Linked DNA regions of Caenorhabditis elegans. The protein of the gene in region 1 purifies or fractionates together with the protein of each later gene. This does not show direct contact. Each region holds a gene or a part of one and is shown in the gene's direction. Other genes may lie near its edges.

The links.
Region 2: the proteins of gpcp-2 (region 1) and C12D5.9 fractionate together in Caenorhabditis elegans (co-fractionation; one large-scale study listed by BioGRID). This does not show direct contact.

What each region holds. Positions count from the first base shown.
Region 1 is NC_003280.10:8,062,165-8,080,718, reverse strand, and holds gpcp-2 (Putative glycerophosphocholine phosphodiesterase GPCPD1 homolog 2), read left to right. Parts: upstream 1-7,344; 5' UTR 7,345-7,346; coding exon 7,347-7,575; intron 7,576-10,030; coding exon 10,031-10,184; intron 10,185-10,237; coding exon 10,238-10,341; intron 10,342-10,387; coding exon 10,388-10,647; intron 10,648-10,698; coding exon 10,699-11,628; intron 11,629-11,676; coding exon 11,677-11,943; intron 11,944-11,991; coding exon 11,992-12,375; intron 12,376-12,423; coding exon 12,424-12,486; 3' UTR 12,487-12,743; downstream 12,744-18,554. Other genes in the region: K02C4.5 (FCH domain-containing protein), read right to left, coding at 1-133, 189-298, 342-741, 1,157-1,622, 1,679-1,744, 2,216-2,262; K02C4.2 (DUF19 domain-containing protein), read right to left, coding at 3,998-4,053, 4,301-4,507, 4,553-4,754, 4,799-4,939; pdha-1 (Pyruvate dehydrogenase E1 component subunit alpha), read right to left, coding at 12,914-12,997, 13,049-13,625, 13,705-14,274, 14,406-14,419; Ubiquitin conjugation factor E4 ufd-2, read right to left, coding at 14,776-15,159, 15,212-15,566, 15,615-16,524, 16,575-17,496, 17,542-17,868, 17,911-17,967.
Region 2 is NC_003283.11:7,682,633-7,697,527, reverse strand, and holds C12D5.9 (T20D4.11-like domain-containing protein), read left to right. Parts: upstream 1-7,539; 5' UTR 7,540-7,551; coding exon 7,552-7,788; intron 7,789-7,836; coding exon 7,837-8,010; intron 8,011-8,267; coding exon 8,268-8,585; intron 8,586-8,860; coding exon 8,861-9,172; 3' UTR 9,173-9,335; downstream 9,336-14,895. Other genes in the region: ZK105.3 (Glycosyltransferase), read right to left, coding at 37-151, 195-386; C12D5.10 (T20D4.11-like domain-containing protein), read left to right, coding at 4,040-4,261, 4,314-4,487, 4,711-5,067, 5,117-5,437; nhr-152 (Nuclear Hormone Receptor family), read right to left, coding at 9,369-9,631, 9,718-9,824, 9,871-10,077, 10,125-10,210, 10,269-10,549, 10,638-10,803, 10,981-11,022; nhr-94 (Nuclear Hormone Receptor family), read left to right, coding at 11,623-11,684, 11,739-11,872, 12,057-12,112, 12,158-12,820, 12,964-13,065; sre-11 (Serpentine Receptor, class E (Epsilon)), read left to right, coding at 13,571-13,677, 13,725-13,879, 14,344-14,753, 14,807-14,895.

The sequences.
Region 1 (18,554 bases):
GAGCATTCTCGACCGTTTTCGGATCATTAGTTACGTTATCCACTGCGAATGATGTTACATTCGAGGATGATGATGTTGAATAATTTGATGAATACGCAGAAGACGAGGAACGTTGTGATGATGGAATATCACTCTGAAATGTCATGAGAAATTAAACTAATTTTCTGAGGAATATTCTGAATACTTACCGTATGATAATAAGTACGTGGAGAAGGAATAGGAACTGTAGATTGATAACATTCAACTGATATAAATGTAGGTGTCACATCTTTTTCAGTTTTCGGTGGCGGAGTTGTATCTGAAAATCGAAATATTATATGAAATGTTTAATTATTATTTACCTGGTTGGATAAGCTTAGGCTTTTGAGCAATAGGAGGTCGAATATTGACATAATGACTTTTATTGATAAATGGACTATCATATACATTCACACTTGTCTCATTATTTTTAGTTTCTTGTGAAACATCAACATCTGTTCGAATTCTAATAACTGATGTATTTTTGGGTGAATCTATATGACGTAGTGAGTGCTCTTCAACAATTCCAATTCTATTATTTTTACTGTTAACATAAGGATTCGATGCTTTTTGTAGATCTTCATAGATCGGTGTTGCGTAGATTTGAGGTGGAGAGGAAATTGGTACTGGTGGTGGAATTGTTGATGGAGGATCAGGAACCGCTGAACGAATCGGTGGTCGAGGTGGTTTTAACTGAGTATCCGGTGCAACTGATGGACTTGCCTGGAATTGAAAACTATTATCGGATATTCACAGTCTCCAGAATCGCGTACTTTAAGGCGCACACATTCATTCGGATCAGTCTCACCACGATAATTTTTATGGTAGCTTTTTATCTAGAATTTGTGAACAAAATTCCTCGTTTTCATCGGTTTTACTTTTCGATGCGAGACCCATCCTAATGAATCCATGCTTTTTTGCACCTTTTCAAAAATTGAAATTCATTGGAATGAGATAAATTAAAACATGGAAGCATACTTTTCTGAAAATTCTCTTCATGCCTTCAATAAAAAGTGTTAAATTTGGGTAGTTTTAATAATTTAAAATTTTTCAAACTTATAAAACTTTTAGAAAGCCTCCTTATTTTTTGTTTCATTGTTTCAATCAATAATTTAAAAATAAATAAAATTCAACTAACTTGTAATTGTGCATGAGATCTAATAGCAGGTGGTGTCGGTGGAGTTGACTTAGATCCAGCTAGAACTCGTTCATCCTTCTCAATACATTCAAGAGAAGAACTTGTATTTTTTCGACTTGATCTCAATTCTGATTTTCTTTCAGGAAGTTTTGGAAACCATCTTCTCCCGCTGTTTTCTGTTTCTGAATGTTTTGTTGAGTTCAGATGCGAATGAATTGAATTGAAAAAATGTCGTCGTTTTGGTTTCTCAATTACAGTTCCATCTACAGCCATTTTTGTTCTCAATGATGATCTTGTCTCTCTCATTGCTTTATCCAAATCTACAGCCCCACATGAATAGACATTACACATTTTCCATAAGTTCAAATGTTCATTCTTCTTTGGATCCATATATTTTTTCAAGTTATTCGCCGTTCGACTGTGCACTTTTGCGATTTCTGATAATCTTTTTAGTGGGAGGTCTAGTCTAAAAACTGGTTTATTTTATTATTTGAAGAGATATCAGACAACCGTTCTTCTCACCTCGATTGTGAGAATGTGTCAATGATTGATTGCAGCTTTTGACCATAGTTGGCTTCTGCTTCAGCCCTGTAATTGATTGCAGTTCTAGACGATTGTAAGCTGGATTTAGTTGTAGATCCTATTTAAGCAGTGAGAAAACTCAAACTGGGTTTAGTTGGCAATTTTTTCAAAACTAAAACCAACCAAAATACGAGCAGCCAATGTTGAGAAATGGGGTGCCTCACTATTAGAGAAAATACGAAAATTGTGTTGTTCTCATTGTGATTTTCATATGAGTGCGTAGTACTGAAGGGTATAAAGACATTTTTTAGAACCAGAAAAAAATTTTCCTTTTTTTTCAGAAATCATTCGATCATTCATTCAATAGAAACATTTTTCAGGAATTCAGGAATCAGGAATATCTGACGTGGCAATTTTTTAATCTCGATATCATGGGAAATGTTTTGAAAATGAAAATGCGCATTAAAATATTGAAATTTTAATTCTAAAGCCCCCATTTCATCAATGCGAAAAATGTTTCAAAATCCTTAAACTTACAAATTGGCTGTAAATTCAAGCAATGCATAGTCGTAGCGAGTTGTCATTTGTTCCGGTTGATTACTGAAATAAATGGAATATTTTTGAAATTAAGTTTGAAATATTGAAAATATCGATGACGGATAGTGAGTGACACGGCTGAAATGTCAATTCTCTTGTGATAACAAAATGTGACGCTCGCTCAAACTCTCAAAAAATGAATGATAATCATTTTAAGAGGAAAGGGTGAAGCAAGAGAAAAAGCATTCCTCTTAAAGAGAGGAAAAGTATAAATCGATTGCTTATCATATCACACGGCCTCAATTCATTGTAGAAGAAGATGAGAGAAAAAGGATTCAAAGAGAGGGAACAACGAAAAAGGAGAAAATGATCGATGAGTGATCGTCAAAAAATCTAGGCGATTTGGGGGGACAAACTTTATGTTGGATACAAGAGATAAATGAAGTTAAGGAAAAAACGAGGGCACATGGAATTAAATGGATAGTGATAAGTTTTCATCCGGCCAGTAAATTCCCGTATTGCAACTTTGGTGAAGGTCGTCTAGGTAGGTGAAGGTAGTCAATCCTTTTCTTTTGATCAAAGAAATGTTTTTCAAAATTTTGGAAATTGGAGGTTGTAACAAACGGTGCAGTTTTTATTTCAAAAACACTGGGCATAAATGTTCATGTATAAATTGAAAAAAATCTCTCAATTTTATAGTTTAGACGGCAATAAACTCTACTAAATTTATCAAGTATACAGATGAACATTTACTTTTTTTTAATTTTCAGAGAAGAATTACATATTCATAACATCTGTTATAAAGTTTTGAATGTCTTGAAAATAAAGTTTACAATTTTCTGAACTTTTGGCGCTCTTACTATTAGAGCAAATATGTTTTTTAATGTCAAAAAATTGAGAAAAGAGAATAAGTAAAAATGATGATGTACCAAGAATGTGAAAGATCAGTGATTATTGATAAGGTGATTCAAGTAGTTTTTACTTTTCCCGATTCCTTAGAAGTGATTTTTTTCTGAAATTTCCAGTGATTTTTAATAAGTTCACAAGTTAAGTAATTAAGGAAAAAGACTTTAAAACAGTGGCAAATGTGTGAAAGCCAACATAATAAAAATTGTTAATTCAATTGATTGATCTTACTGGAAGTTCATAATATCAACCAATAATTCATAAAACAGCAATTCGAAAAAATGCCTCAAAAGTTTTATAGAAAATTTTTTTGGCGCTCGTTTCAATGCATTCTAAATCAAGAATAGTATATCCAAAACACATATGTATGTCATCGAGTTTAGTCATCGAAATGGATTTAACAATTATCATGCTTCTTATATGAAAATAATTGCTTATTTCTGGAAATCTCAAAATGAGCTCAACGCGCTGCGGCTCTCGAACAAAATAGCGGGAAACTGAAAGTGCAAATTAAAATAAAATTGAGTAAAGCATAGTCAAATAGAGTCGCCAGAATCTCCATTTCTCAATTCCGAATGACCTTTTCAATGGGAAAAAAGAGGAACGGAATGGGAAAATAGTACACGGAAGAGGGACGCCTGTGGCAGATGGCCTAACCCGATATAATGCTTCATGCACAGTCTCGACGTTTTTTTTGGTTCTTACGGACAGACTGAACCCCCATAACCTATTTCCCAGGTGTCAAAGAGAATATCATGGAATTATAATATTATGACAGTTTTATTTTTCTTTTAAACAAAGATCGTTAAGTGAATCTAAAATAAATCTATCTAAACAACAATAAATTAAGTATTTACATTCGTCATAGGGGTAATGTTATGAAGCTCTCGCTCGGATTGGTTCTTCTGTTTCACTTGACACGAATAGATGTGCTGAAAATTGATAATTATAAAAAATTATATAAAAAAAAGATATCAAAACATTTGAATATAAAATCTAGGTAGGGAAGACTGTGTTTATTCAAATTTGATTTGAAGAATAGCGGTAGACGGCAGTTCTCCAAAGTGACATGCGGTATGTTTTAATTATTTTAATTTAAAACAGAGTACATTAAAAGTTTAGCCTATATTTGAACACCTCAACTTACAGTGACTTCAAATTGATAAAACAAAAACTTACAAATACAAGCATACATCTGCTCAGATTTGCTGAAAAATCGTTGTTCCTCAGCACACAAATAGAAAGTTTTGAAAAATTCGTCTTCAGGTGGCAAGTAAAGATCACATTTCAACTTTCGAGTACATGCATTTCTACCAGGATACAGACATTCAAATACACATTCTCCTTGACGAGCGGCTTTTTTATTCATAAACTGCCTTGATTCATCTGGATTATATATATTTTTAAAGATGAAATGAAACACAATAATACCAAAATCTCCAATTTTGTCTTCAATCGTTGATATCATAATATCACGAAATTCATCCATTCCTCTTCGACTCAAAACATTTGATTTTTGGGATGTGCATCCTCTAAAACCATACATACTAGAGTACGAGCATTGCTTCATTCGGTTGAATTCGGGTACAAATTGTTTCATACAACCAACGAATCCACATGTAGGGAATATTTTCTGAAAATATAAATAAAATTTGGAATATGAGGACTAACACCTACTTCACATTTAGCAAGACATTTCTCAACTGGTTCCTTTCGTGCCGCTTTCAGGCATTTTTCATAAGGTTTACATAGACATTGTTTGATAGCTTCACAGTCAATTAGTGGAATTAAAAAAATCAAGACGATTAACATTCGCATCTTTGAAAATGGAATGACATGTTTACTGTCTAATTCGTGTCCTTATATCGTGCCTAATTGCAAAGTTCAAATCGACTGGGCGGGTGGTAGGTAGACAAAACAAAAAACAGGTCGTCTATCATCCCAGGTAAATGAAAAATGTTGAGGTGCCTCCTCCGAGTGACCAATTTTTAAAGTGGTTTTCACGGTAATTTAGCACCTCTGTACGGTATTGCGTGGTTAATGACAGCTGATTGGCAATGGCGGAGACACAAACAGCCAGTACTCACGCGGTGTTGATCTTTCGTTGCATGAGTGGCAGACGGCAGAGTTAGCCAATAGGCCATGGGTTCAACAACTAGATCGGTATAAATGTACGCTCATGTTAGCAATGTTTGGGGTACATGTAGTGTTTTACTTTTTTGCTGGCTAAATATATTATTACCCATGCTCGCAATTTTTTGTGCAATTTTGTGATTCTTGCTCCAAAAACACGGTATTTACCCGGTCTCGATACGACAATTTATGTTAACTACGATAAGGTATGTGCCTTCAAAGAGTACTGTAATTTTTAACTTTCGTTGTTGTGGAATTTTCATCGATATTTCAAAGTTTTTCCCACGATTTGTCAAAAATTTAACAATTTCATTTTAGTTATTAATAGTTATGAATAAGTAAATATTTTTTTAACAAGAAAAAAAATTCCGCAGCAACTAAAGTTTGAAACTACAGTACCCCTTAAATGCGCACATCCCTTTGTATTATAATATATATTTTTAAAAAGCGTATTAAGAGAGGGTACCGTATTTTTGGCGCAAAGATTTCAAAACTTATCGTCTGGGTAATAACCCATATTGGTATAGAATCGACCAAATGGCAAGTGTGTTTTCAGACACTTGTGTAAACCTTACATAATAATCCATTAACAATGGAAACTTCTTCGCTTTGAAATTAAGTGCGATTCTTTAAAACAACATTCCATCAATTTCCAGTAATCCGCATGAATTTTAAATCGAATCATTCCACATTGCTGATTGTTTTTCTGTGTTCAACCTTCAAAAATTAGAAATTCAAACTCGAAACATCCGTTAAAAACATAGATCGCATCGGTCAGAAAGTTATTTTGATTTTCCCACTGCGTACGTACCCATCAATATTCTTCCCAATTTTCGTCTCGATCAGCTGCCTGACATGATATATTTTTGATTTCAAAATATACTTTATATTTATAATCTGGTATCGTTTCCTAATATGTTCTACTTCCTTGTCTGATTGGTAAATGATGTAAAATGAAAATCAAGAAACTAAAATTTCAAACTTTCCCCTCGTTTTTTCTGTTCCCGATCATCAATGCAATAAAATCACACATTTTAACGAGTTCTCACCATTTTTCCACAGATAACATCATTTTGGTAGACTTTGGAACCATTTTGATCAAATTTCGAGGGAATTCTCAAGTGTTCGTGATTACGGTAAAAGAGGCAGAGTCCAAAAGACAGATGATAAATATGTTTTCAGGATAATTTTGACACGTGACTTGTTGATTGGTAGGCTATGGAAAATCAAAATATTTAAAAATGAATTGAAAGTATTATAATCAGTTGACAATGTAATGACACATATTATATTATCAGTTGAAATGTGATTAATTGTGATTATCAACATGGTTTACTGGAAACTCGGAAATGATGTCAAAAGTTAACAGAGGAGTAAATGAGGTTTTACTAACATGAATTCTCTACCTTTCCATCAAACAAAAATTTGAAAATCTATGAAAACTAGGACTAATAAGAAAGATGAAAGAAGACAATTTCAAGAAATGAAACAGTTGTTTCTTCGGGATATTCCAAACACAATAGGAGGCAAAATTACTTTGAAATATTTATAGACGAAGAAAATATTTCAAATATCGTTGAGTACATTTCGACAAAATCCATTATCCACATTCAAACTTTTTTTTATTGAGTCTCGCAAAAGATGCAAGAGCATCAAAAGGAAGCATTCATAAAATTAACAAATCTCATAGTTTCCAAAATGTTCAAAATACGGCACAACAGAATTTTTACCAAAGCAGTGAGGAATGCCCCAAACTCGGCGGTATTTTTCCAATTTGCTAATTCCAAATTGCTAATTTTTATAAAACGTTTCCCTAGACTGAGTTCTGAAACCCCTCAATTCTTGATATAATTTTTGTTGTAAAAGTACAGGTTGTACCCAAACACGTTGTTCCAATAAAATTGCAAAATCATGATATAACTAACAAAACGTACTTTCTCCTTTTTCTTCAATTTCAAAGAAACAAAGGCACCGCTCACCTAGAGCACGCCTTTTTCGCGCCTAACTCAATTGTATGTTATCAGTGAAAAAAGTTAACGATGCTCTCGATGCTTTCTGATAAGAAATTAAGAGACATTCAGCATTGTTTCTAATGCATTTCACCCGTCGCGCAGTTTCTCCAAGAGCTTCATTTGTTTTTGATCGCCACGTTGGAACCATCAACTCATCTTTGTCAAGACGTCCAAGAATATCAGAGTGTGTTGAGGAAGAAGAAGAAGACGGTGGTGGTTTTGATCTTTTTGAAGAAATGAGACAACCAATTCAGGAGAATATTCCAATGATTATTTTAGAAGAAGAAGAGGATGATAATGATAATCTTGGTGAGATTTTTTAAACTAATAGTTTTATCAAAATATTTCGGGATTACAACTTTATAAAATGATTGACTTTGAGACTTTTATCTGAAACTGTGTGCAATGTGACTTTTGTGTAAAGGCTCTGCCGAATCATGTGATCAAAAAGTTTTCTTCAAAAACGTTCTGTCATATAAAGGTTGTTAGAAAAGATTTTTCTAAGTTATATTAGTTTTCAGTGCACAATTAAAAAGCTAACTTTAAATAATTTCCATCTAAATGTGCACAAATTGGTCGAGTTTAAAAAGATGTGAGCAAAAAATTATTGGTATATCTTTTTGAAATTTTTGGTTTTACTTTATCTTCTATTAGGAGCTTTATATGTTTTTAAGGTTGTATTATATTTTTAGTTTTCAACTTTTTAATTATTTTTTAAAAAAATTATGTAACAATTTTTCCCGTGGCGATTCTCATCCGAAAAAAAATCAGTGCAAGTTTAATTGCGCTTTTCAAAACCTGGCGAAAGTTTGATAACTCCCTATTTCCTCTTCAAAAGTTTTAAATAATTTTTAGAAATATTTTTGATAAACTATACCAGCTGCAAAGAATATCTAGACTTCTGATACCTGCAAAAGAAACCCATAACATATTTAGAGTATTGAGATAGAGCACAAACTAATGTGTATTGTACCTAAGTTAATTCCATAATATACTCGAGAACATGTACTTTTTATTATTATTCAATGTTTTCATGTATGCCAATTTAAAGAAACACTGAATTGTCACGTAACTTTAGATTCTAGAAGTATAACATTTTGGTAAATAAGTAAACATTATAAAGTGGGAGATACCTCTACCTTTGATCCGAGATTTGTGTGAGTAAGTGGGTCAGTTTTCCTGATTGTTTGATTTATATCATTGTTTGCTCTTTCAAAAGGAACTGGACTAATGTAAACAAGTCCTAAAATTTAGATGATAGATGGATAGATGTAATCTTCTCGAATACGCCTTGTGCGCTGATAACAACTTTTTGAGTGTTTTATGATTCAAGATATAGAAATATAGATTTACAACAATTATATCTTCTGTCAGTTGTCTTCCTCATCACTTACAAATACTTTGAGTGCGATATGTCATATTTTTGGAGTGTAACACATGGAACCCGTCTCGTGTCATTTTACACATATATTCCCACGAGTGTCACATGATGACGTAGAATATCTGTGTCCCCTCGCAAGTCTCTTTTGGTCTTCGTTTTTGCCCCACGTCCACAGCTTTTCCTCTTTCTCTTTCATTTTTCGTGCAGTCTACGTATATTCGTTTTGCTCAGTGTCTAGCTCATAGTCGATATTCGTTCTATTTCATTCACTTTGGCTCCCTCAGACCCCAAAACTTTTCTTTTTGATTTTCTGAACTTTTTCATCGATTTTCGATTGTTGTTCATTTTCCTCCATTGAACATCTAAAAACCAGATTTTATAAAAGAATAAACAAAAACGAAAAAAAGAAGATATTTCGATTTCAAGTGAAGTGCATCCGCACGAGATATGCACTCAACTTCATGTCATAGAGAAGCTTCGATTGTATTTCCATCCGACTTTTGAACTTCCTAGCGTCATTTTTATTTCTCAATAGATAAGTATGAAAGTTGTATAGCGCTTATCTATATAGTTTTTCTCTTTGACAAGTTGTTTTATCGCATATTACTTCCGATTGACCAAAAACAAAAATTATTTTGCTTAAATGAATAACTTTGTAGGCTGTAGGCGGTGAAAAACCAAAGTCCCTAACTTATTTAAAGAAACTAGATAAAAAAGTTTCAAGATTCAAGAATTTATTCAAACTCTTTCGACCAACTTGATCTATCAACCTTTTAATCTTTCTCTCATTTTCCCCCTATCAATTAATTAAGAATTTATCATTTGGCGCACGTGCGATAAATAGTTCATTTCGGAAACCATTATTTTCTAATTTCGTGTTTACTCCCTCTAATGCGACGTTTTGCCACCGCCGCACTTTCGAAAGGTGAAATTTATCAATGAGATTCGAAAAAGAAAACAGGTTTTATCTAACTTTTGCTAATAAAGATTTGTTTCAATGTAGCGAGGTGGTTTTCATTTCCATAAAGTCAGGACGACTGTGAAATTCAACAATTTTCGACTGAATTGCCAAATTTTCATTTATTCCAGTCACAATCAAAAAAAGATAAGACGGGGTTTCCTAATTTTATGGTTTAGACTGCATGTTGGTTCTTTGCCCTTATAAAAATATGTATTATGTTGCCACTTTCTTTTTTTTTATTAAACATGTTTTTTTTGTAATATAAACTCGTAAGATTCAGTGCTTACGGAGGTTAGACACACTTTAATTTCTACCGTAACCCACTTTTCTCATCAGCACGAGATCTCGCGAGATTTCTTTTCTTTTTCAAGAGTAAATTCATGTTTAATACATTTTCAATTAAAAACTTAAATAATTTTCAGTGATGTCGGTGGCGCGACCCGTCCGCGTTCACTTTGCGGTCGACGTCGAAAACTTGCACGCGCATCAATCGGTGTACGTTGTCGGATCGAATGATGTGCTCGGAACTTGGGAAGCCACCCGGGCGATGCCGCTCGTCCAAGATCCTGATAGATTGTATGTTGATATTTATAGTTAATTAAAATGAAAAAAAAAACCAATTATATTAGCATGCGCTGGAAGGGTTCAATTGTGACTGATGTGCACCAGTTGAAATTCCGATATTTCATCGGATACAATTTAATGTCGGACCAAGGAGAGAGACTTATCGTTGGTGAGTAATTCTATCAATTTTACCTCAGAATTATTTCTGATTTCAGACAAATGGGAAGCTTTTCTACATCCTCGCTCTACTCTTTGTCTTGCTGAAAGCCGAAACGACGAATGCCGTGTTGATCGTGTTGATCTTTTTGGTTATTACGCAGGAAGGAAGTGTGTTTCTGATGGATGGCTCCAGTACCCTGATGAGAACCAAATTCTGCTACGGCTTCATGGTAATGCGCTGAAATTCTATAAAACAGCAAAAGAGCGGAAGAATTGTCGTGTTAAAATGACTCCTTTGGATGTTCGTTTCAAAGCGGTAAGTTTTTTATTCGGTTGTTTAAAGAAAACTCATTTTAAATTATTCTAGCCTCCAAGCGGACATATCAGCTTCAGCTACGGCGAAGATGAGGAAGATGAAGAAGAAGATCAAAATGTTCCATCAAATAAATGTACACATTCTGCTACTCATGTCGCTGTTCTTTCTGATCCTCGTCCAAAATTCTACGACCAAGAAGATACTGGTGTTACATTTAACAACAATAAGGATTATTTGGTGTTCCGAACACATTGTTTGGCTGCTGAATTTCTTGCATTTTACATTGAGATATTCTCGGAGGAAAGAAAACGAATCGGAGCTTGCTATGCTCTTCCATCTTCCCTTCAGGATGCGTCTGGTATCATTCATTTGCCTTTCATCAATTCTTCTGGGCGGCCAATTGGACAGGTTTCGATAGAATATCTCTGCGTTCGTGCTTTAACGCGTCTCGATGGACCACAGTTTATGGATCAGACATATTGCCGTCATTGGAAGAAAAGAAATGCCCTAGAAGTTGGGCACAGAGGCGCTGGAAATTCCTACACAAAATTTGCAATGGCCAGAGAAAATACGATTCATTCCTTGAATACTGCTGCCAAAAACGGTGCTGACTATGTAGAGTTTGATGTTCAATTGACAAAGGACAGAATCGCTGTAATCTATCATGACTTCCATGTGCTCGTTTCGGTAGCAAGAAGAGATGGACTTGCTATGCCACCACCAATGACTCGTGAACAATTGGACTCTTCCAACCTTGATTATCATGAACTACCAGTTAAAGATCTGAAACTTTCACAGTTGAAGCTTTTAATGCTTGATCACTTAAGCTTCCCACAGAAGAAAGAAAATGTAAAGAAGCTGGTCGAGGCTGGAGAAGAAGAAGAAGACTTCAAACCATTCCCAACTCTTCTAGAAGCTCTTACAAAAGTGGATCCTGATGTCGGATTTAATGTTGAAGTTAAATATCCAATGATGCAGAATGTACGTTTTCAGATTTCCAGAGTATGACAATTTAAACATTGTTTTCAGAACGGCGAACATGAGTGCGATCACTATTTCGAGCGGAATCTTTTCGTCGACGTTATCCTCGCAGATGTTATGAAACATGCTGGAAATCGAAGAATCATGTTCAGCAGCTTCGATCCAGATATTTGCTCCATGGTTGCCACGAAACAAAATAAATATCCAGTGCTGTTCCTCTGTGTTGGTGAAACTCAACGATATACTCCTTTCCAAGATCAAAGAACTAGTACTTCAATGACTGCTGTTAATTTTGCAGCTGGAGCTGATCTTCTGGTGAGTGTTTTTGTTCGATTTATTCTTTCAATTTAAAACTATTTTTAGGGAGTTAATTTCAATTCCGAAGATTTGCTGAAAGATCCAATGCCTGTGAAGAAGGCAAACGAGTTTGGCATGGTCACATTTGTCTGGGGAGAAGATCTCGACAAGAAAGAAAATATCAACTATTTCAAAAAGGAGCTTGGTGTCGATGGAGTTATTTATGATAGAATCGGAGAAGAGGAACGTCGTCGTAATGTATTCATCGTCGAAAGAGAACAAAAACGTGCTCTTCTCAGCTGCTCTGGTGCCAGCACTCCGCAACGAGCTGCATCACCATCTCCAGTTTCTTCTGAAAACAATAATACATCTCCTCCACACAGCGCCAAATTAACACGTAACGCACAATCTGATTCGGCTCTTTTGGAAGAAAATGAAGATGATGTAGAGGTAGGATATCCATAGTTGATTCGTGAAAAAAACGTTATTTTCTTTCAGCACTTATCTGACAAATTGAACATTACTGGTTTCCAATCGGCTCCCATGGTCTCTACTAAGTAGCCATGTCATACAAATTTTCCTTTTCGTGATATTATTAATTTTATTTGCATCTCTTAAAATATCATCCTAAGTTTAGTGTGCATTTTCATTCATTTCATTTTTCTATTATGAACGTAATTTTATTGCTTTTCTTGGACCTTTTTTATACCTGAAGTAACATTGAAATAAGTGGACGGAAAATTTAAAGGGGTTTTTTAAAAACTTCTCAATTTCCACTAGTTTTAAAGTTTGACCATGAATGATTAACGGTGAGAAAATGTGATTTATGCAATTGAAAATCGAGAAGAAAAGTGAACAACTAGAAACTAGAAATGAACTCATCGGAAGAAAACAGTCACCGAAACTATATAAAAGCACTAAAAACTTAATTTCGTAAGAATTATTATAAATTTTTGCCAGTCAATGTTGCATAGAAAATTCGTGTCGTTTAAGCTCTTCCAATAGACTTCAGTACATCAGCAGAAGTTTTGAATGGCTGGACGATAGTTTCATCAATAGTGGCTCCGCGAATCTGAAAATGTGAACAATAATTGACGAAAAAATAATGAATGTTATTACTTACCTCTTGAGCTGGGGTGTTGTGATAAATATCGGCGTAGAGAGCTTCTGGTGGGAGAACACCGTCTGATGTAGCAATCTTCAACGCTTCATCGACCTCTTTGCGAACTTCCTTGTCAATAGCCTTAAGTTCTTCCTCTGTGGCCAATGAAGATGTAATGATACGGTCCTTGAATCCAGTAATTGGGTCTCTTGTTTTACGAACTTCTTGAATCTCTTCACGGGTACGGTAGCTGGTTCCTGGGTCAGACATAGAGTGTCCATGGTATCTATAGGTGGCCATTTCCATCATAAGTGGTCCTTTACCACTGTCACAATATTCCTTAGCCCACTTGGTAGCCTCGCGAACAGCGAGAATGTCCATACCATCAACCCAGATTCCAGGAACATAGTCTCCTCTAGTATAATACTCGGTAGAAGCAGATGAACGTTCAGCAGTAGTTCCCATTCCGAATCCATTGTTTTCGCAAACGAACAGAACAGGAAGATCCCAAAGTTTAGCCATGTTAGTCGCCTCGAAAAGTTGTCCTTGATTAGCGGCACCATCACCATACAAAGTAACACATACATTCTTTTGTTCACTGAAAATAAAATAAAATATTTAGATGAAAAAATATGAGTTGTTCTCGTAAAAAAATACATCAAAATTTGTTAACATACCGGTATTTCATGGCCAATGCAACTCCAGCTCCAAGTGGCTGTTGTGCTCCAACAATTCCGTTTCCTCCATAGAAATTCTTTGTGTACATATGCATGGATCCTCCTTTTCCGTGAACATTTCCGGCAACTCTACCGGTCAATTCAGCAAGAACCTCGGTTACGGTAGCTCCAAGAAGCCAGGTCCATCCGTGACAACGGTAAGCAGTGATGACGGCATCTCCTTCTGTCATTGCAGCCTTCATTCCGACGGCACAAGCTTCTTGACCAGAGTAGAGATGACAGAAACCGCGGATTTTCTTCTCCTTGTACAAGTTTCCAGCAGCAGACTCCATGCGACGAATGACCTGCATGTCACGGTAGTACTTGAGAGCATCTTCTCTGTTCAAGGTGACAGAGGTGTTTGGTCCATTGTCAAGTTTATGAAGTTTGCATGGCTTTGTGTGGAATGATACTTCCGTGCTCGCAAGACGAACTTGCTGTGTGCGGATTCCACTGGCAGTCAAGGATTGAAGTTGTCTCGCGAATAAAGACATTGCCGTCGACCAAATACGTTCCAGATGTACCAAGCTACTGAAAGCAGTAAATATATTTCAAAAATAAAAATTAATCGGATTTGGGATGACTGGGAACGTATAAATATTATAAGTTATTGACATGTAACAAATCACAAAACAATACGACACCGTTCGTTATAAACCTACAGAAATTTAGTCATTCCAGGTTCAAGGCTAAAATCAGAATATGTGAAGAAATTCACAAAGAATAAAAATATAAGTATGCGGATCGGAGACCGCAATAGAAGCCAAAATTTAGAAAATAAGTAAATTAGTATAAATTTATTCACATTCAAGGCACTACTCGTGTTTTTTAGGTTTGATGAAAGAGGGCAAGAATACCAACTTTAAGGAATCCATGCAGAAAATGAAACCGAAACCGAAAGATTAGACCATTGAGAGACCAGAAAAACTTATAAAATGAAAGGAACGCGTGAAATTTACAGACATTTTGCACATGTGCAATGGTCAAGTACAATAAATACAAAATTGGGTAACAATAGAATATGATAGAAAATTATTTCTTTGAATTTCTTTTCTGGCAAATCCATTCCTGAATCTTTGCCTTCAACTCAGAATCGGGAGAAAGCTCATTGTGCGACAAGGGAGCACGATTAAACGGATTATTGGGTGTACTGAGAAGATGCCTCTCGATGACTGCACGATCCATCACGTGTCCTGATGGCAATTTGACAGGATCAACCATAATTGCATCCATAATAGGATCCTTGAACTCTTCTGGTACATCATCATACTCTTCTTCAAGCTCAGCTTTTGCCTCATACTCTTTTTTAACATCTTCGGCCAAATGTTCGAAACTTTCGAGTTGACTGAATCCAACAATACTATTCTTTCTCATGCATTCAATCGCATTATGGAAGAATTCAGGACTGTAGGTACGCTGAAAAATAATTAAAATAAATCTCTTTGAATAAACAAATGTGTTAACCAACCTCGTCGTATGCTATGTATTTAACAAATGCAGGCATATTCAGCTTTAAATAGATTGAGATCAGCAACGATACAAACTCCCGTGGTTCCCATCCATAACTTCTTGGATCCTTGACTTTCAACTCGGAGGCCTTGCTACCAATGAGTTGCGATAAATTGTGATTCAACATTGCAGCAAGTCTTTCGCCGAGAACCGGAGTACGGAAAGGTTCGGGTGAGTTTACGGTAATCGATAGTAGCAATTTAAGATTACTTTTGGCTGTTCCAAGCCATCCCTTCACTTTACGTTTTGCCTCCTCGTACACGCCGAGATCCTGATTACGGATTTCTTGATCTGTGTTGTCCCATTCGACTTTGCTGAAAATAAAATTTATATTTTTAAGTTATCATTCGAAATAGTCTTACTTCGCCATCTTTTTCTCAACATCATGGATACTCTTCAAACCAGACAAGCTCTCATCTATACACCATGTTGCATCGTTAATCACCATATTGACAAACCGAATGAACTCTGCTCCGCATTCTCTTGCCATGTCCATAAACTTTCCTTTGTAGAACATATCTTCCTCCATTTTTTCCAACATGTACTGGATATTTCCACGAACGTTAAACTTTTCATAAAAGTCACCATTGTCTTCGAAATCCGAGTAGAACTTTATCATGCACATCAATAAATTTTCTTGTGCCATTCGAAGTCTGACCACGTTGAACCATAATGGAGGTTGAATAGAAGACAGCACTCTCACCAGTTTGGAAACGAGAAATGGGCTTTTGATGTAGTGATATTGTGTGAAAAGGACCGTCAGACGGGAAATCCAATCCGCATTTCTCTCCATGAGCAGTTTCATTCCATTGGAAATAGCGAATATGTAAAAATCGAGAGCATCCTCTAGAAAATATTCTGGGAGCGCACAAAACATTTGTGATACTTCAGTTGGAAGTTGACTGTCGTCTCCGAGCAAATCCAAGTTATCACAAAGCAAATTCAAAATGAATTTCATCTGCTTATCGACAAAATCCATAGAAGATGCCATTAATGCAGGATCTTGAGCTTGTGTCTTAACACATAAAAGATGACGAGACATGAGCTTCCAGTGTTCAGTCTCATAGTTCAACTTCTTTTCCACCTCAGCTCTCTCGAATCCTGACACAGTATTTAGTTTTTCTTTGAGCGCATTGATCTTATGCTTGAGCTCCTTAAGGTGTCGAGAGTATTCACTTATTTGATTCATCAATGGAGGAATAACGAGCCTCTGTGCTGCAATTGTCAGGAAGAAGCAGACTGTAGAGAAATGATATTCATCTGGACGATCTGCTGGAAAAAGAAAACAAGTTAATTTTTTGAGAAAGAAAAATGAAACTTACCGAATTGGCTAGCAAAAGCGACTGCTCCTGATTCGTCCATTTTGAGACGAGTCTCCTTGGAAATATTTATAAGCGAACTCGGTAAAAACGGATAATCTACGATAATTTTGGACAAGTCGATTTTCTCGGAAAACATGTACATCACGGACAAAAAATTTGTCATATAATGATCACACAAGACATCTGAAGGATCATAATGTGAACGAGTGCGAATGTCATTGGTGCTTATGATGGTGGCAATCCATCTTAGAGTTTTGTTGCGACTTCCTTGATCCGAAGCAAGCGGAAGCATCAATTGATGAAGCATAGTTCGAATTGGATCCATTCTTTGGAAATACAGTTTCTGCTCAGTGTTGACTGATCCATCATATTTTCTTGCATCTTCTTCACAATCCACAAAAACTCGATGATTTGGACGCCTTGCTGATGATTCGAGGCCGTACGAAAAGAACGGTCCTAGGAAGGACATTAAACCAAACTCGCGTCCTTGTATTTTTTCGGACGGCGTTGGGAGAAAATCTTCTCGATTAACAAGTAGGTTACTCAGTGGGCGAGGTCCGTTTGAAGGGAGTCTGATACTGAGAAGCAAGTTCATCACACGAAGGATCTGACGAACAATTTCGTCCTTATTGTCTTCAAAGCGTTGACAAATAATTCCGCTCCGCAAAATCCCGAAAATTGGATTAAATGTTTCTGTAATAGCGTCTTCATCGCATTCATCTGTACTTGCAAGGTATTCAACCAATGTTCTTAGAAAAACATTTGACACCGTATCCTCCAGAAGTCTTTTTGTGAACACCAAACTAGCATGTTGGCTGCGAAGTTGGCTCTCCAAGTAGCCTCTCTGTATCATCACAAAAACTGAGAAAACTGCTTTCCTGGTAGATTCGAGAGTTTTCTTGTAGCAATTTGAAGTACCGCTCTGAAAATTGTTAAATTAAAAATAGAACTATATTAGATAGAGTACCTTTCCAAGCTCATGATGGCAACGAACAAAATTGATTAAGAGAAACTCGATGGCGTCTTCTTCACGACATCCAGCAATGATATCAGGGTCGATGAAATTGAACGATCTTGACAGCCCCCTTCTTGATCCATCTTGAGATAAAAGTACAAACTTTGTGATTATTTCGGCAATGTTCGATTGCAGACACTGAGGAGAAACATCAAAATTCAGATTTTGAACATCGATTATCGCATCGGCGTAACGAAGCATTCTGTCATCTGATTTACCTTCACAGTCAAAGAGACTTGTGAGGAAGTCTTTGCTTTCAACATCTGCCTGAAAAAAGAACTAATCGCCTATGAGTATATAAAATGTCAGGCAAAAACGCACCACAGAAGCATCACTTATGTCCATCGGCTGCAAGCCTGCTTTCTCGTCTTCAATCATCTACGATTTCTGGAAATTCGTGATGATCACGTGATTTTGATAAGTAGAGTAACGATAAAGAGAATGGTGAGAGGTCTGATAACAAATATTTTACGGTAATGGGAACATTTATGAGACGGAAAAATTAAACGCAGAGGATTGTATGAAAACAATATTGGACTAGAATTGTGTATAGAGGAAAACATAAAATTATTTTCGAGAGCAAAAACTGTAGGAAGACATTTGCACCGCGCGCGCAAGAGATAGAAAAATCGAAGGAGCAATGCAGCTGCAAAGACGCTGACATTTCGGCCTCTCAATGAACATGCAGTGGAGCGCGTTTGCTGCACTACCGAGACACCACATTTTTGCAGGAGAGAAACATCGGTAGAAAACTGAATTCGGAAGAACGAGTGTTAAATATTGTATCTTTATGATTCTATTTTCAGACACCACTTAATTTGAATATTTTTAGAGCAATAAGAATTTGAAGGGGCAGATAAATTAAGCAACAAAAAAGTATATAAATGAACGAGACTGTGGATGGAACGCACATTTTTGATTTTACAAAATTTTATTCTTTAATAAATATTGTTTTTTTTAAACGA
Region 2 (14,895 bases), on another chromosome or scaffold:
TTTGGCATTAAAAATTGAATTCAATGTTTAACTCACGCAACTGCTTCTGATATTCGACTGATAAGAAATGCACATTTTCCAATTTCCAATCCAATGGAGTTTTAGTATCTGCTACTACAACTAAGTTCCAGTCTGGAAATGAAGATAGTCTCTGAAAATGGTATCAGTTATTTGAAACCACTGAACCGGTTTACTTTAACATCTTCAGTTGGAGCACTGACACTTGTGACAACAATCCATTTATTTCCATTCTTTATTTCAACAACTGGTGATATTAGTTCTGTTCTTTTTACATTTGCAGATAGATCCGCTTTTCCCATTAGTGCAACATAGCAAAATGTCGTTGCGCAGGAAATAAACAGCAACGCCTTTATCGACCAATTCATCTGAAATTACTTTCGTGGAATAAACACTTGATACTTGTTTTAGAATCTATATAAAAGAAACAAAAGATAGAGTGAGATGAGACATTTGTCACAATAGACAAGTTCAGATGTCCGGCGATCGACTTGGCGTTTTTAAGAACATACAAAATGTTCATGGAAGTTACAACGTGGTGGTCTCTTTATATGACCAGCTAGCTGCTTTTGAACCCAGCTGCTTTGAGACCCCTATAACTCAATATGATGGATACCATTCTAATATTAAATTTCCCTGAGAAATTTAATGTGCTTGAATATTAATATTTAAAACATAATGAGACCATAATAATAAGTTTTCAAAAAAGGTTGAAATGTTTTTCTACGATATTTGGTCATATTGGTCTCATAGAAGTGAATTTCAACCATTTCTTCTTTCAAAGTTAGAAAAAATAAAGAGATAACCCTTTACAATGTGCAAACACTTAACACAACTCAGATAAACGCTTAGTCCTCTAATTAGATTTCAACCAAAAATTAGATTTCAACCAAATGGGGACATAATTAATAGGCTTCCTATTCTAATCCAATATGGATTTTCTAATCAAATATGGTTGAAATCCAATCCAATATAAAACAAATCTAATGAAATTGGTTTAAATCTAATCCAATACGGAACAAATCTAATCAAATATGGATTTCTAATCTAATATGGAACAAATCTAATGTAACATGGATTTTATAATAAAATATGGAGCAAATATAATCAAACATGAATTTCTAAACAAATATGAATTATGTCCCCATTATATTTGGTTGAAATCTAATTAGACGACTAAGCGTTTGTCTGAGAAGAGTTGACATCAAAATGCAAACAATTGGCCAAAACAGTCATGAGTCAGGCATCAAAAGCCCTAATAGTAAATAGTTTAATTCAATTAAAATATTAATTAAAGTAAAAGGATAAGATTTTTCTGCAACATTCGTGGTACATACATTTTGTAGGAAATAATTTTTCAGAATGCAATTTGTTGTCGATCAAAAAGTGTACTTTCTCCGTAGAATTTCATTATCACTTTTCTGGAGGAAAGTTATCAAGACACTATAAATGTTTATTTAGTTAACTCGTTGAATGAAACACAACTATAAAAATCGTTCAGTAAATCTAGGATGTTAATGAAAAGATATGAACCATTATTATAGATTCCACATTGATAAAAATCAGTTTATGCAAATCAAGACTATTTGGTTAACAGTAAATTTGCATGCAAATCATGCAAATCAAGACTATTTGGTTAACAGTAAATTTTTGAAATATTCATTTTTTAAAACAAAGTTATTTACAAGCGGTATAAAAGCGGTAAAACATTTTCCAGAAAGCCTGCAGTGTTTTGCAGTGCGTTCAGTGGTATTTTATATAAGTTAAACTAACAGTACACTTGGTGACTCTACAAGGATTTATTATAGACAACTAGTAACACTAATAGACAAGTAACGCAAGAACATAAAGTAAGAACATGAAGCGAGTAAAAAGTTAAGACTGATTCGATGAGCATCTCCTGTTGGGCGGTGTTGTACACGTGTCTTGTGGTCGTCGGTGTAGACGTGGAAAGGTCACCACGTGGCTGCTCGCGTCCGTCATCCTTTTGTGCATGCGGTAGTGGTTCACGTGTTTAATGGATTGACGTCCTTGTTCTTGGTTGCATGATGTAGTTCTCAGAGCAATGTGGATGTGGATTGTTCGTAGTAGTGATCTTCGCCAGTAGAGTTCAATTACAGTAATACTTATGCAATAATTATAGAATAATTATTAAGTCGTGAATAATGGAGATCCTGCTCCATGCTATTCGCGACATGCAGTTCTTCATTCTTAAAAGTGTGAATCGAATACAAACGATCCAAAAGTGTAAAATTTGGCCGTTATCTGTCGGGGGTCTAAAAATTTATATCATGTGGACTTTTCATGTATTTTTGGGAATCAAAAATGCCTGAATGATGTGTGTGAGTTGTAGAGCAGGTGTCACACATGTCCCGACATTTTTGGAGTCTGCCAGTTTTACGGCAAACACTCATTGACTACCTTCTCTTTGACTACCTTTTGCTCATTGACTACCTTAGATCATTGACTACCTTCAGTTGCTCATTGACTACCTTTATCTATTTTTTCAGAATTTTCAGTTTTTTTCGCTGAAAAATCAGAATTTTCAATAACATGTTACTTTTTGATGTCTAAGAAGGTCGTGCACTTTCTCATTTCCTGATATTCCGGAAAAAATAGAGATGAGATCTGATGTATAAATGCTCATTGACTACCTTCAAATGCTCTTTGACTACCTCTATCTAATAAAATTTTCCAAAATTTATTTTTTTGAAAACTGTTCAAAATTTGATCAGATATTGTAGAAAAGTGCAATTTTTGTCGTTTTTCTAGTTTGGATGTTCTGCACACTATTGCAGACGAAAACCTGAGGTATAGCAGAACCCCTAAGCTCAAAAAAACGCACTCACTTCGGATGCTGATATCTCCGTGGAAAAAAAATTTATGGCAAAGTGATTAACTACAAAGTTGTATATCTTAATCTAAAGTGCAACTTTGTAGTTGATTGTTTTTTCTCAAAAAATTTGTTGGATGAGATATGAACAGAAAAAGAAGAAGAAAATACAAGCATGAAGGTGCCAAACTTTACACAACTTTATCTCGACCAACAAATTTTTTGAGAAAAAACAATCAACTACAAAGTTGCACTTTAGATTAAGATATACAACTTTGTAGTTAATCACTTTGCCATAAATTTTTTTTCCACGGAGATATCAGCATCCGAAGTGAGTGCGTTTTTTTGAGCTTAGGGGTTCTACTATACCTCAGGTTTTCGTCTGCAATAGTGTGCAGAACATCCAAACTAGAAAAACGACAAAAATTGCACTTTTCTACAATATCTGATCAAATTTTGAAAAGTTTTCAAAAAAATAAATTTTGGAAAATTTTATTAGATAGAGGTAGTCAAAGAGCATTTGAAGGTAGTCAATGAGCATTTATACATCAGATCTCATCTCTATTTTTTCCGGAATATCAGGAAATGAGAAAGTGCACGACCTTCTTAGACATCAAAAAGTAACATGTTATTGAAAATTCTGATTTTTCAGCGAAATAAACTGAAAATTCTGAAAAATTAGATAAAGGTAGTCAATGAGCAATTGAAGGTAGTCAATGAGCCAAAAGGTAGTCAATGATCTGAGGTAGTCAATGAGCAAAGGTAGTCAATGAGCCGAAGGGTAGTCAATGAGCAAAAGGTAGTCAATGATCCGAAAGGTAGTCAATGAGCAAAGGCAGTCAATGAGCAAAAGGTAGTCAATGATCCGAAAGGTAGTCAATGAGCAAAGGTAGTCAAAGAAAAGATAGTCAATTAGTGTTTGCCCAGTTTTACTTACTACTAGATAGATCAAATTATAGATAAGTTCAGTGTCTAAATTTTTGAATTTTTTTTTGCTTAAGGGAAGGGAAATAATGTTATCAACCATAGTACAGCAGCTTTCCCACAACTCGTTGTAAAATTCTGGAAACATTTATTGGGAAGCTTGCCCGATTTGCCAAGTACACAAGTATTCAATAGATCAAAAATTAATCCATCAAAACTATTTAAAACCTGGTCCGATACGTTCACCACTCTTTTTTGTGTGAAATGCAACACTTTTCTCCTTTTATTATATTGTTACTTTTTGTTTCTGTCACTCCAGAAAGCAATGTTACTTTAAAAAACTGCACATTGCAAGACATTCAATCAGTTCAACAAAATTGTGAACCATTTGCAAATGAACTCAATTCATATAATGACGACTACGATGGAAAAATTCTACCAGATGATATTATTGGAAATATGACGGATTTGTGTAGCAGTGTAATTGTAATAATTGAATTTGTCCGATGGTTTTCCGATTTTAACTGTATATTTCCAGAAGTGTTATGGAGAGTATGAGTGCCAAGAATCTGCGAATTATAAAAAGAAATTTGAGCGGGAATGCGCCGAAATGAAAATTTCGAATGCCAGAGTTAAGGAGTGCATGCTAGAAATTTATGGCGCAATTTTCGAGGACACATACAACTGTACAAAGAACTTTGACTGGTTAGCAGTGAGTTTTTGAAAGTTTTGTTTAGATGGAACGAATTTAAATTCACAAACGATAAAACAATTTACGGCTATTTTCAATTTTGAAATTGTCAAATTTTCCAGCACACATGTTCCGACATCTTCCGAGTTTTCTAGCATTGCTGAAATGTCGGTCGTCGATAAATTATGGATGATTTTCTACCGAAATTACTTGCATTTTGGATTTTGAATTTGATAATTTTCAGAAAGATCCTGTAACCAAGCGAAATGCGTATCTTTCTGGAAAGGATTGTTTTATGGAAATTGTAACCAATGATTGTTCTAACAGTTCAGTTATGTATTTCTCTTCTCAATATGAACACTTTGTGGATCTAATCTCAATTAAACCTGATGGAGAACCTTGTGTTGGTCTGTACTATGAGCTAAACGAGCTTCGCTGCAATGAGCCAGTTTCTCAATTTTCTTTACAATTTGTTACTCTTTTTGCAAAACTTATGCCACCAATGGTGATGAATCAATCCGAAAGCGACGAAGCAAATGAATTTACGAATTTGCTGAAGCATGATGATTCAGACACCTCAAAGATTTGCATGTATGTACAGGTGCATTGTTTAAAACTTTTTGTAATCTAAACTCTAAAAACTTCTTCAGGACTGTCTGGTAGATTCCTGTACATTCTCCAAAAAGAAAGGGATCAGCGAATATTTAGACGTAGTCTGTGGCGAGTTGGAAAAAATGGACAATATAAATGAAAAATTTGTCGATTGCCTCGACTTTTTTCGAGACGATAATTCAACTTTAAGCAACTGTGTGAAAAATTACGAAACATCGAAAACTGTGGAAAATGCTCCAGTCGTATTGAAAAACTGCATTAAAAATGGAATCGAGGCTAAATGTGGAGCTGCTGCACTGGAGAATTTCGATAATAATTATGAATTTTATTTTACAAAAGGAATGTTGAAGAAACCTTGATCGTTATGAATCTTGGATGTAATTCCATTTTTTTGTTTAATGTGCAATTATGCCCCAGTTGACAGCTGATATGTACTTCCAGGAAGCACTTTTGTGCGGGAACCTGAATGATTTTCATTCAATCGACGTCTCTAAAAGAAAAACCACTCACAAGTAACATATCGTTTGAAATCTTTGATACAAAACATTGCAATAAGTGGCTCCAGCGACGGATATATTGCCACACTAGCTGCTGCAAGGCTCGCCAGTTTGCTAACATACACTTCGAAAAATGGCATGCTAAGCAACAAAAATTAAAAAAAAAAGGTCGTGTAAATTTAAAATGTGTCATCTAAAACAATAATTTGTGAAGACTTCTATGAATTTGATTTTAAAAAATTTGTTTTGGAAGATCACTATATATGTGGAGCACACTAAATACATCACGTTAAATAAACTACCGTTTACCTGAAATATTAGAGTTCTGAAAAACTGGCGATTCAATTCCATTGTCTTTGCACTCATATGAACTTGATTTTTCTTCAACGATGAATATAGGTTTGTTGCACAAAATATAATTGTTGAAAAGCAAATAATCTGAAAAAGAACAAATGTTTAACAAAGCTTTAATTCAATTGGTATTATTTACTTTTAGTATATTACAACTTACAATAATCACCGCACATCCAAGTGCGCATGTTGGTTTTGTGGTCAACGCACACAATTTCCAAAATGTTCCAAATTTTCTCCCCATTTTCCCCAATCGACCAGTACATTGGAGCAATAAAAGAGATCTTGGTAGAATCTTCATCATAACAAGCTCTCAGTTCTTCTCTATAAGTTATTAACTTTTATAAACAAACATATTTAAATGCTTACTCAATATATTCCTGTTTCTCTACGGTGTTGGCCATTCCAAAATAAACCAACAAATTCCATGCAAAGAAACAAATAAAACACGGAATAAATATCAGACTCAGTTTGAAACCTTCAATGCTAGGTAATGCGTCCGGCCTAATATATAGAAAACTCATTTTTATAAGAATATTTCAAAATACCTGCATATCGCGATATATATGTAGAAAAACTGAGCTGCGAGGAGAGATATTACAAGAGCATATGAACCGCAAAAAAGGCCTGGATAATTCGAAATGAGAAGTTTTGATATCTTTTCAAACGGTAATACTTTGTTTTCAGCTTTAAAGTTATATCAATTAACCTACATGTAATATTGTTTCCAATCCATTTATGATATTTCAAAGGGCTATCCATGTAGACAATAAATACTAGGCCTTTTATATGGATTACCTAAAGTTCTTTTATTAATTTTATTCCACAACCGGATGTGTTATTATTTCAATCCAGGCATACATCAACGAGTTTAAAGCAAATGTTGTCATAACATAACGATATGCTCCAAAGTGTTTTCCAGATTTTTTAACGAGCAAGTAAACAAAAAATGAGTTTGTGATCTGGGCGGCAAAAAATCCAATGTACTGAATTGTATGCAGCGGGCATTTTTTGTGTCTTTAAAATCAAAGGTTTTCTGTTTCTAGTTGGATAAAGACTATACTAGAGCAGGAAATGTAGGTGCTACCGGACTTTTGAATGAAACATGCTTCATTCAAAAGACAGTGTTGATAAATGGATAGATATGAATTTTGAGCTGCGAAATTTCAGAAGTGAGCTATCTGAGAGCTCAGAGAAGCTCGATTGCAAATGCCTTTCACTTTCGTAATTTCATAAAACGTTTGGGAGAGCTCTGAAAAGAACCCATTTTTTCCAGAAATCTGATATTTTGTTAAACAAAAGAATGAATTTTGCTTTTGAAGCACTTTAAAAGATCAGTTCTGAGCTTAAAATTCATACTTAACCATTTCTCAGTGTGCGCTTTCAAATGGAACATGCCTCGTTTACATGTCCAGTGGCACCTTCTCTAGTTAGATTCTTTTATTTGATAAAAAGTACTTTTCGTTCAAAAATTTATGACTCAGTACAGTTCATCATACAGTTTATATACTGCTTATAATACAAAGAACAACGTTTTTTCGATACCTATTAAATTTGGATTAAAATCGATTATTGCGACTAACTATAAATAAATCACATTTCATTCATTTTTTGCTCCCACTAAAATGCGGAAACCAACTCTTTTGGTATGTCTAGTAATGTCATATTTCAACTTTGTTGATTCTAAATCCAACCTATTGAATTCTCCCCTCAGAGTTTGTACACCAAAAGAGCAATTTGTGCTAGAAGGAAAATGCCTACGGTATGTGAACGATTTGATGTATCTAACAGAGGAATATCCACCAACTCAAATTACTGTGCCAATTGCCAAGAACATGAGTAGCGCATGTGAAAAAATTACTGTATGCTTTTGTTACTAAGACTTTTACACATTATCGTAACGATTTCAGAGTTGTTTTGCGGAAATTGAATGTGATGAAGCTCAGAGAAGCAAGGAAGTTTATGAGAGAAAATGCGAAAAAATAGAGTTCAATAACTACAAGATGCAAGAATGTATCCCAAAGTTTTATGAGACGGTCTATAACAAGTCACGCCATTGCACAGTCGAATTTGACTTTTTCTCGGTAATCATTATATATTGATAAGAAGTAGGGTTGTTATGAGGGGCCAAATTATTAGGACACTCCAGGAACTAATGTTCGAAACCTGATAGAAATATGAAATAATTAATAGTAGGAAAAAGTAGTATTTCCCTACTTGTATTTTCCGGATGCGTGACTACTCCATAATAACAATTTGTATGCCTTTTTTTATTTTTGTTTTCAAATGAATTTTGAAAGGATTGGCATTTATCAGATTAGCATAATGCGTCAACTTTTAGACGGATTTGAAAACTCGACGTGATGCATATATTAATGGAAAATCGTGTGTTGTGAGTATCGCCAACGAAAGAAGGTGTGATGAGAAAGCACTGGAATATTTGAACTCAAGTTATGACAAGTTTGTGGATATTATGAGCATCAAACCAGACGAGAAAAAATGTTCTTCATTACACGATGAAATGATATCAAAACAATGCCAACCTGTGCTCTTGAAATTGGGAAATGGTGTAGTTGGATCACTTGATAAGCTTATCAAAAATGCAAATGAGACGAAGCCTGCTGTTGAAAACAGACCGGATGTTTGTGATGAGTTGCAGGTAATTTTTGACTTATCTGATAGTGAATATTTTATCTTATATTCAAAGTATACCAGATTATTATGTTGTCATTGTCGTTTAACCAGATGAACTTTAACAGTATGAACTTTTATAGGTACGAGGTAGGCATAGGTAACACTTTTGTATGTGTGATTTTATAAAATCAAGAATTTGTTTTGGTATTCGAAATTTGTTTGGAATATCATAATAATTTTTAATTGAGTTTCTGAAGAAGCTTGTTGTTATTGTGCCTGAAGTTGAAAAAAACATTTCAGAATTGTCTTCAAAAAAGTTGTTTTTACACCCAGCATAACCAGACAAATGCCAATGCATACAAAGAAGGTTGTGAAAAGCTAACTCTTGTACCGTTCTCACTTTGCAAATTCCAAGTCATGATTAGTCCCACTTCGACAAGTTATAAGTGCGTCATCGACAGTTTACTTAATCCAAGTTCAACAATGCCTCGCAACAGTTTCTTGGAAGACAAGGAATGTATGAGAACTATGATGGGAGGAATATGTGGAGCTGCAATTTTGGAAAATTTTGACCGCGATTGGGAAGCATCTAAAACTGCGGATTTGTTTTGATAATAAAGTCCTGTCAATTGCCCATTTTTTTAATACTAAAAATCTAGAAAAAATTAAATTTGATTGTTTTCTAATTTTTTTCAAAAGCTTAAATAATCCCGCATAATGAATTCTCACATGTTTATCGGTTATGGATGAAATTAAAGTTCAATTGAATGTTTCATTAGATCTTTCTCAAAATTGCAATTCGAAAATCTTAACTAAAAATCATTTCATACATCAAACTCCTGCTGAATTCTTTTGGAAGAATTGACAACATTGGAGCAAGGAGACAAACATGAAGATCTTTCAGTAGTTTCTGCTGCTTTTCCAGAGTAGCAATAACTCCAATCAGATCTACATATCGAGTTGGGCCGCTGGAATTCAAACTTTGAAGACAGTAAACCAGCAACATTTCAGAGTAAAAACTTCGACCTTTTTCTAGTTTGTATTGAGCGTTGCTTGACAGATTGGGAATCGCTGAAAACTTGACAAAAAGTTTTTCTTTAATTTCTGACGTGAACTTCGATGTTTGGGGGTCAGGTCTCACTTGAAAATATTCTTACCTGGATTACAGATGAATATCATTTTGAGCAATAAGTATTCAATGTAGTGAACTCCAACTCTCATCAGAGCATAAAACACCATTGCAAATGTAGAATACTGGGGTTCACTTGAATTTTAATTGATTTTAATTATTTGCCAAAATTTGAACCTACGATTTTTTGGGTCGTTGAGTGCCATCCGGTTGGCGAAGATCTTCATATTTATTTTTCAATGTGTAATATGCAGAATGTAAATTTGAACAACCAACTACAACATGCCTCATCAAGATCAACTGGTCCTTTGTGTCAAGTTTTAGAAAAAATGGGAAGGTTTTCAAGAATTCGATTGATGTGAGCAAATTGAAAAATCTCCACTGTTTTCTGGAAAACTGCCTTTATTGACAAATTTCATATTTTTTAAATCGTACCTATGAGGTGAATAAGTTTTGAAATTATAATCCAAATTTGAGCTAGCAAAAATATGATTTGGGTGGTAAGGCCATCCAGGGAAAGGCTGAAAATCGGGGAAAAACTTCAAAATTATACTTGTTCACTGAATCTAACACAGTTACCCCAAATTTATTAGAAAGGCTCAGTTTGCTGGAGCAACGTAACAAATCTTCCAGTCCTCCAATTTCGGTCCAATTTGGGTTATAAGCCGATAGTCTGAATTGCTCAAGTTTGCAATCCAAATAGGTTAGCTCGTTAATCACATCTTTAATTTTCTCTTCTTTGGAGTTTTTTAAGCTTTGAGTCAAGTTTTTAGTTGTTCGAAAATTTAAAGCATTTGGGTTCATTCCAACTAAAAGACATTTTTTGAAGCGGCAAGCTCGACAACGAAGAAGTGGTTCAGCTGAAAATTGTAATTACGGATTGAGAATTTAATGAGAAATACAGAAAAGTATTTTCCGGTAAATTAAAATTTAAAAATTCAAACTAACTTCTCTTGTCTAAATCAAAACAGTCACTATTTATATAGCACCGTAGCTCAGATTTCAATAAATACATCCGACGGAAAAACGTTTTGCAGCCCTTACAAGTTGCCACGTCACAATGATGACCATGTGCCGGCCGATTACATATTTTACAGTTGAAGGGTGAAGGGAACTGAAATTATGAGCATTTTAAAATTATTGTAATAATCGGAGACAAACGAAAAAATTTTCAAGCATGTTATGAACGTCTTTAACTTTGACTTTAATGTTGGGAAATTATTTCTTAATATTATGTCTGAATGCCTGAACAAAAAACACGTTTTCACTTATCGGAAAAAAAACAACTTACTTTTAAAATAGAATTATTAGCAACCTGATGTAAAAAATCCATTGTACTGAAGAATACTACAATTTGCCAACTTAACTAAAAAATCATCTAGACGATCTAAGATGTTATCTAATTAATAGTGCATTACGTTCTACAACCGGCCATATGCCATATTTTGACCTTCATTGATCTGTGATGTCGTCGATGTCTCATTGGTAGAAACACATGTTTCTGAATTGCAGTGGAGCGCAGTTGTTGATTACCTTGTTGAACAGTCATTTGCGAAAACTTCCTAATCACTACCTCATCAGACATTCCATGAGTTGTTGAATTTGCCAATTATTGGATGCACAAAGTAGGTTTTAGTTTAGTTAGTTTCATTATTTCCAAAACAAAATATGACATTTATAAATAGTTCCACAATCTGATTGCAACAAACAGCCTAGTCACAGTTTATGAGAAATAAAACAAAACGCGTGGGTGTAGAAAACATTATGGTTTGTGATTCACTGTAGAGGGATCACATACCAAAAGGATTTAAATTCAGATTTGCCATTTTCGCGTTTTAATGTCAGTTCAACAATCAGAATATGTGAAAACTAGTCAAATAGTATACACAGTTTGGATTTCAGCCTTCAAATTTTTATTTATTCTAGGCATAACATGTTTTGCAAAATTTGTGAGGTGTCGTCTTCAGAGCTTCATTTTGGAATCGTTTCTTGCAGGTATCTGGTTTTGATGGTAGTAAAATTTGATACACAATTCTTTATTTGAAACAGATCGTGTGCGGCGTTTTTCCGAAGATATGTAAACTCTCCAAAGCAGCTGAAAAAATGCAATTGTGAAGCGGAGCGGGCTCCGTGCAGATATTGTAGGATGAAGATGTGTGTGAAAAATGGAATGATGATCACAAGTTAGTTTAAAAATTTTTTTTTCATCTATTGTAAAACTGTGATTTTGCACGATGATGCCAGACTATTCTTTTTAAAAACCCGTTTATTAAGATGCATTATTTTTCCATTATTCTAATTTAACTTTAATTTAAAAGTTCAAATATGGAGTATTGTTGAATGTATAGTCAATGACATAAATTTCAGAAGTTCAACAAAAACGCGACCACAATCTCCCGCGAGCTGGCAGAAATTTTATTGAGGTAGACACCTACTTGTTCAAATTTTTGTAAAAACAAATTTTTCAGACGGCACAAATTGCTCTTCGCAACAATGATCGAACTCTCAACGCACTGAGTAATTACCGAATTCTTGCCAAGGAAAGAGAAGTTGTTCATAAATCTTCGAGTTCGGAGCAGATTAACTATTTCGAGTATACCAGTATTGCAATTGTGGATTCTCGAATTTTATGGAAAAAGTTGGAGAAAACATTCCTAGAGTTGCAGGACCTTAATGATCTGGACAAGTTGAATTTATTCTCAAACTTTTATCCAAAGTGGACATTTTTTGAGTCGGCTATTTTTGCTGTTGAGAAAAAATCGGATGTTCACACATTTTTCGCGCCGAATGGAAAACCAGCAAAACAAATTTCGAAATTTTATAAAGACTGCATGATTGGGAAAAGTATGAAGGATATTGATGTTTATCGCATATTTGAACCGTATTGGAAGTCGTACTATGTCCACGTGGCATATCCATTGTTCGAATTGAAATTTGATCAAATGGAATTAATGGCTCTGCTTGCACTGATGTTATTGGATCCAGGATACACAAATATATCAGAAAAATGCTCTGAAATGTGTCATCGAATGAGAAAAGTTATTCAAAGAGAGTTGAGAGGATATTATTTGGAGAATAATAAACCTACAGATCGAATGTTGAAAGTTTTTGAGGCATTGCTTTTAATGGAGGTAAATCTTGAATTTATTTCTCGTTTACTTGATTTTGAAACTTCTTTTTTTATTCAAAAAATGTTAAAAGACTAAAAGATTATGTACGACTTTTGTCACAGTTCCGATAACTTAGCTAATTCTGAAAAAGAAATGTTTTTCAGAAAACAGATCGCTGGCTTCAAGAAGAAGTTCAAATGTGCGAGATGTACAATGTTCAAGCTGATGAAGAGTTCCGTCGAATGGTGTTGGTTCGGAAAATTTAAGTGTTTTTACTGAAAACTTCGCACATATTTTGGCTCTCTCACTGTTATTTTTAAATATGTACTATTTTTATTTTTTTTGACCATAAAAATGGCAATGATGTTTTGCAACAGAGAATACAATTTAAAAAAATCTTTGAACTCCACGGTTACAACGAAAGCGTGTCAGACTATTTATCGCTCAATTTTTAGTGTTTTTCTCATTAACTAATTCATAGATTTTGTTATCAGCTTATTCCTCAGAGATCCCACTTATTGCGGCTATTGTTCTGATTACCCTTATTTCCGTTTTTTATCTCTTTCATTTAATATTACGTATTTCAGATTTTGTATAGATAATATTGGTATTCGCTCAAATTTTTGTGTTGAGACAGCTCATAATTTCAGGCCTATTGAATACAATTTGTGTTTTTTTTTCACTTTGACTGATCTTTTTGACCAAGAAAAGCTTTGGATTCATACATTCAATTTTTCCGGAAAGATTAAGATTCATTTTTTTCTGTAAATAATGCTTCTTATTCACTACATCAACCTAACTCACTTTCAAAACCACACTGAATATTTTCCATATTTAAAAAATTATCTATATCTAGAATTTTTCTTATACATAATTGAGTAAGTATCAAAAATCGGTTCAAACAAAATTTAATATTAATTTTTAGTACCATCCAATTTTCCTTTTTCTTCTGGGTTATGCTATGTGCAAAACAGTTTCATTTCAATTTCACTATCTTGTTAGGTTATATTTATTGTATTCATATTATGGATAACATCGCAAATATCACCATGCGACTAGATATGTTCTTTGGAATAGACGGTAAGAAATGTTTAGGAGATATTTTTCAGTTGATGTTACGTATATTTATTTTCCTAGAAAGAAAACCAGACAAAAAACAACAGTTCAAACTAATTGTTTTTTAGGAAAATAAATTTTTGATTTTTAATCTAACCGATTCTCGACAAGCATTAAACAACTATTTTCAGTGAGAATACTCTCTAAATAAACGTAAAGGAAACCTCCAAGTACTTTTTTGATTTGCTGAAACTTTCAGTCAAAGTTTTGGTGAACTGGCAAATTTGGAAAATCTTCAGATTTTTTTAAAAACTTGAATTTTTTTATAACCTCACAATATCTAGATAGCATATTTTTTAAATTAGTATTATATTCAAGATTAATCAAAAAGGGATCGTTTTGAGAGTAAGACTATCAAGAATGCGACTAAAAGAGACTCTGAGGCAAAAATAGCAACTACTTCACTTGTTTTATAATTTTTTTTTAAGATCTGAAAGTCTACAATGATAAGATCTTCACTGCCTCAATGAATGTCTCAATTTTCACAATGGCATCTGCAATGTGCATTTTACCATGCATGATTATTGAACGGTGTTTTGCCACGTATTTTGTGGAAAACTATGAGAAAAAGCCAAGAAAGTACATTTCAATTTCTTTGATTTTCCTTCTTATCACATTTGGAACAATTTCCTGTTATTTTCTCCGTAACGCTTCAAATACAATATACGTGGTGATATGTCTTATATCATTAAATGCATTGGCTCTGGTAGTCACCGGGTATTTAAAACACTACAACAAAGTGCAGTACAACAAAAACCACGCAATATTGTCGTCAGTGATAACTACATATTCATTAACTCAAAGATACCAAATAACAGAAAATATAAGGATACTTCGGGTAACTTTAATTTTTGAACGCAACGATAACTTTAATATCTCCAAATGTTTTAGATGCTCAACCTGATAATTTTTTACATGGGATTCATGAATGTAGTGCTTGTGCTCAGTGTGATGTTATCAGGATTGAAGGAAATAACTCC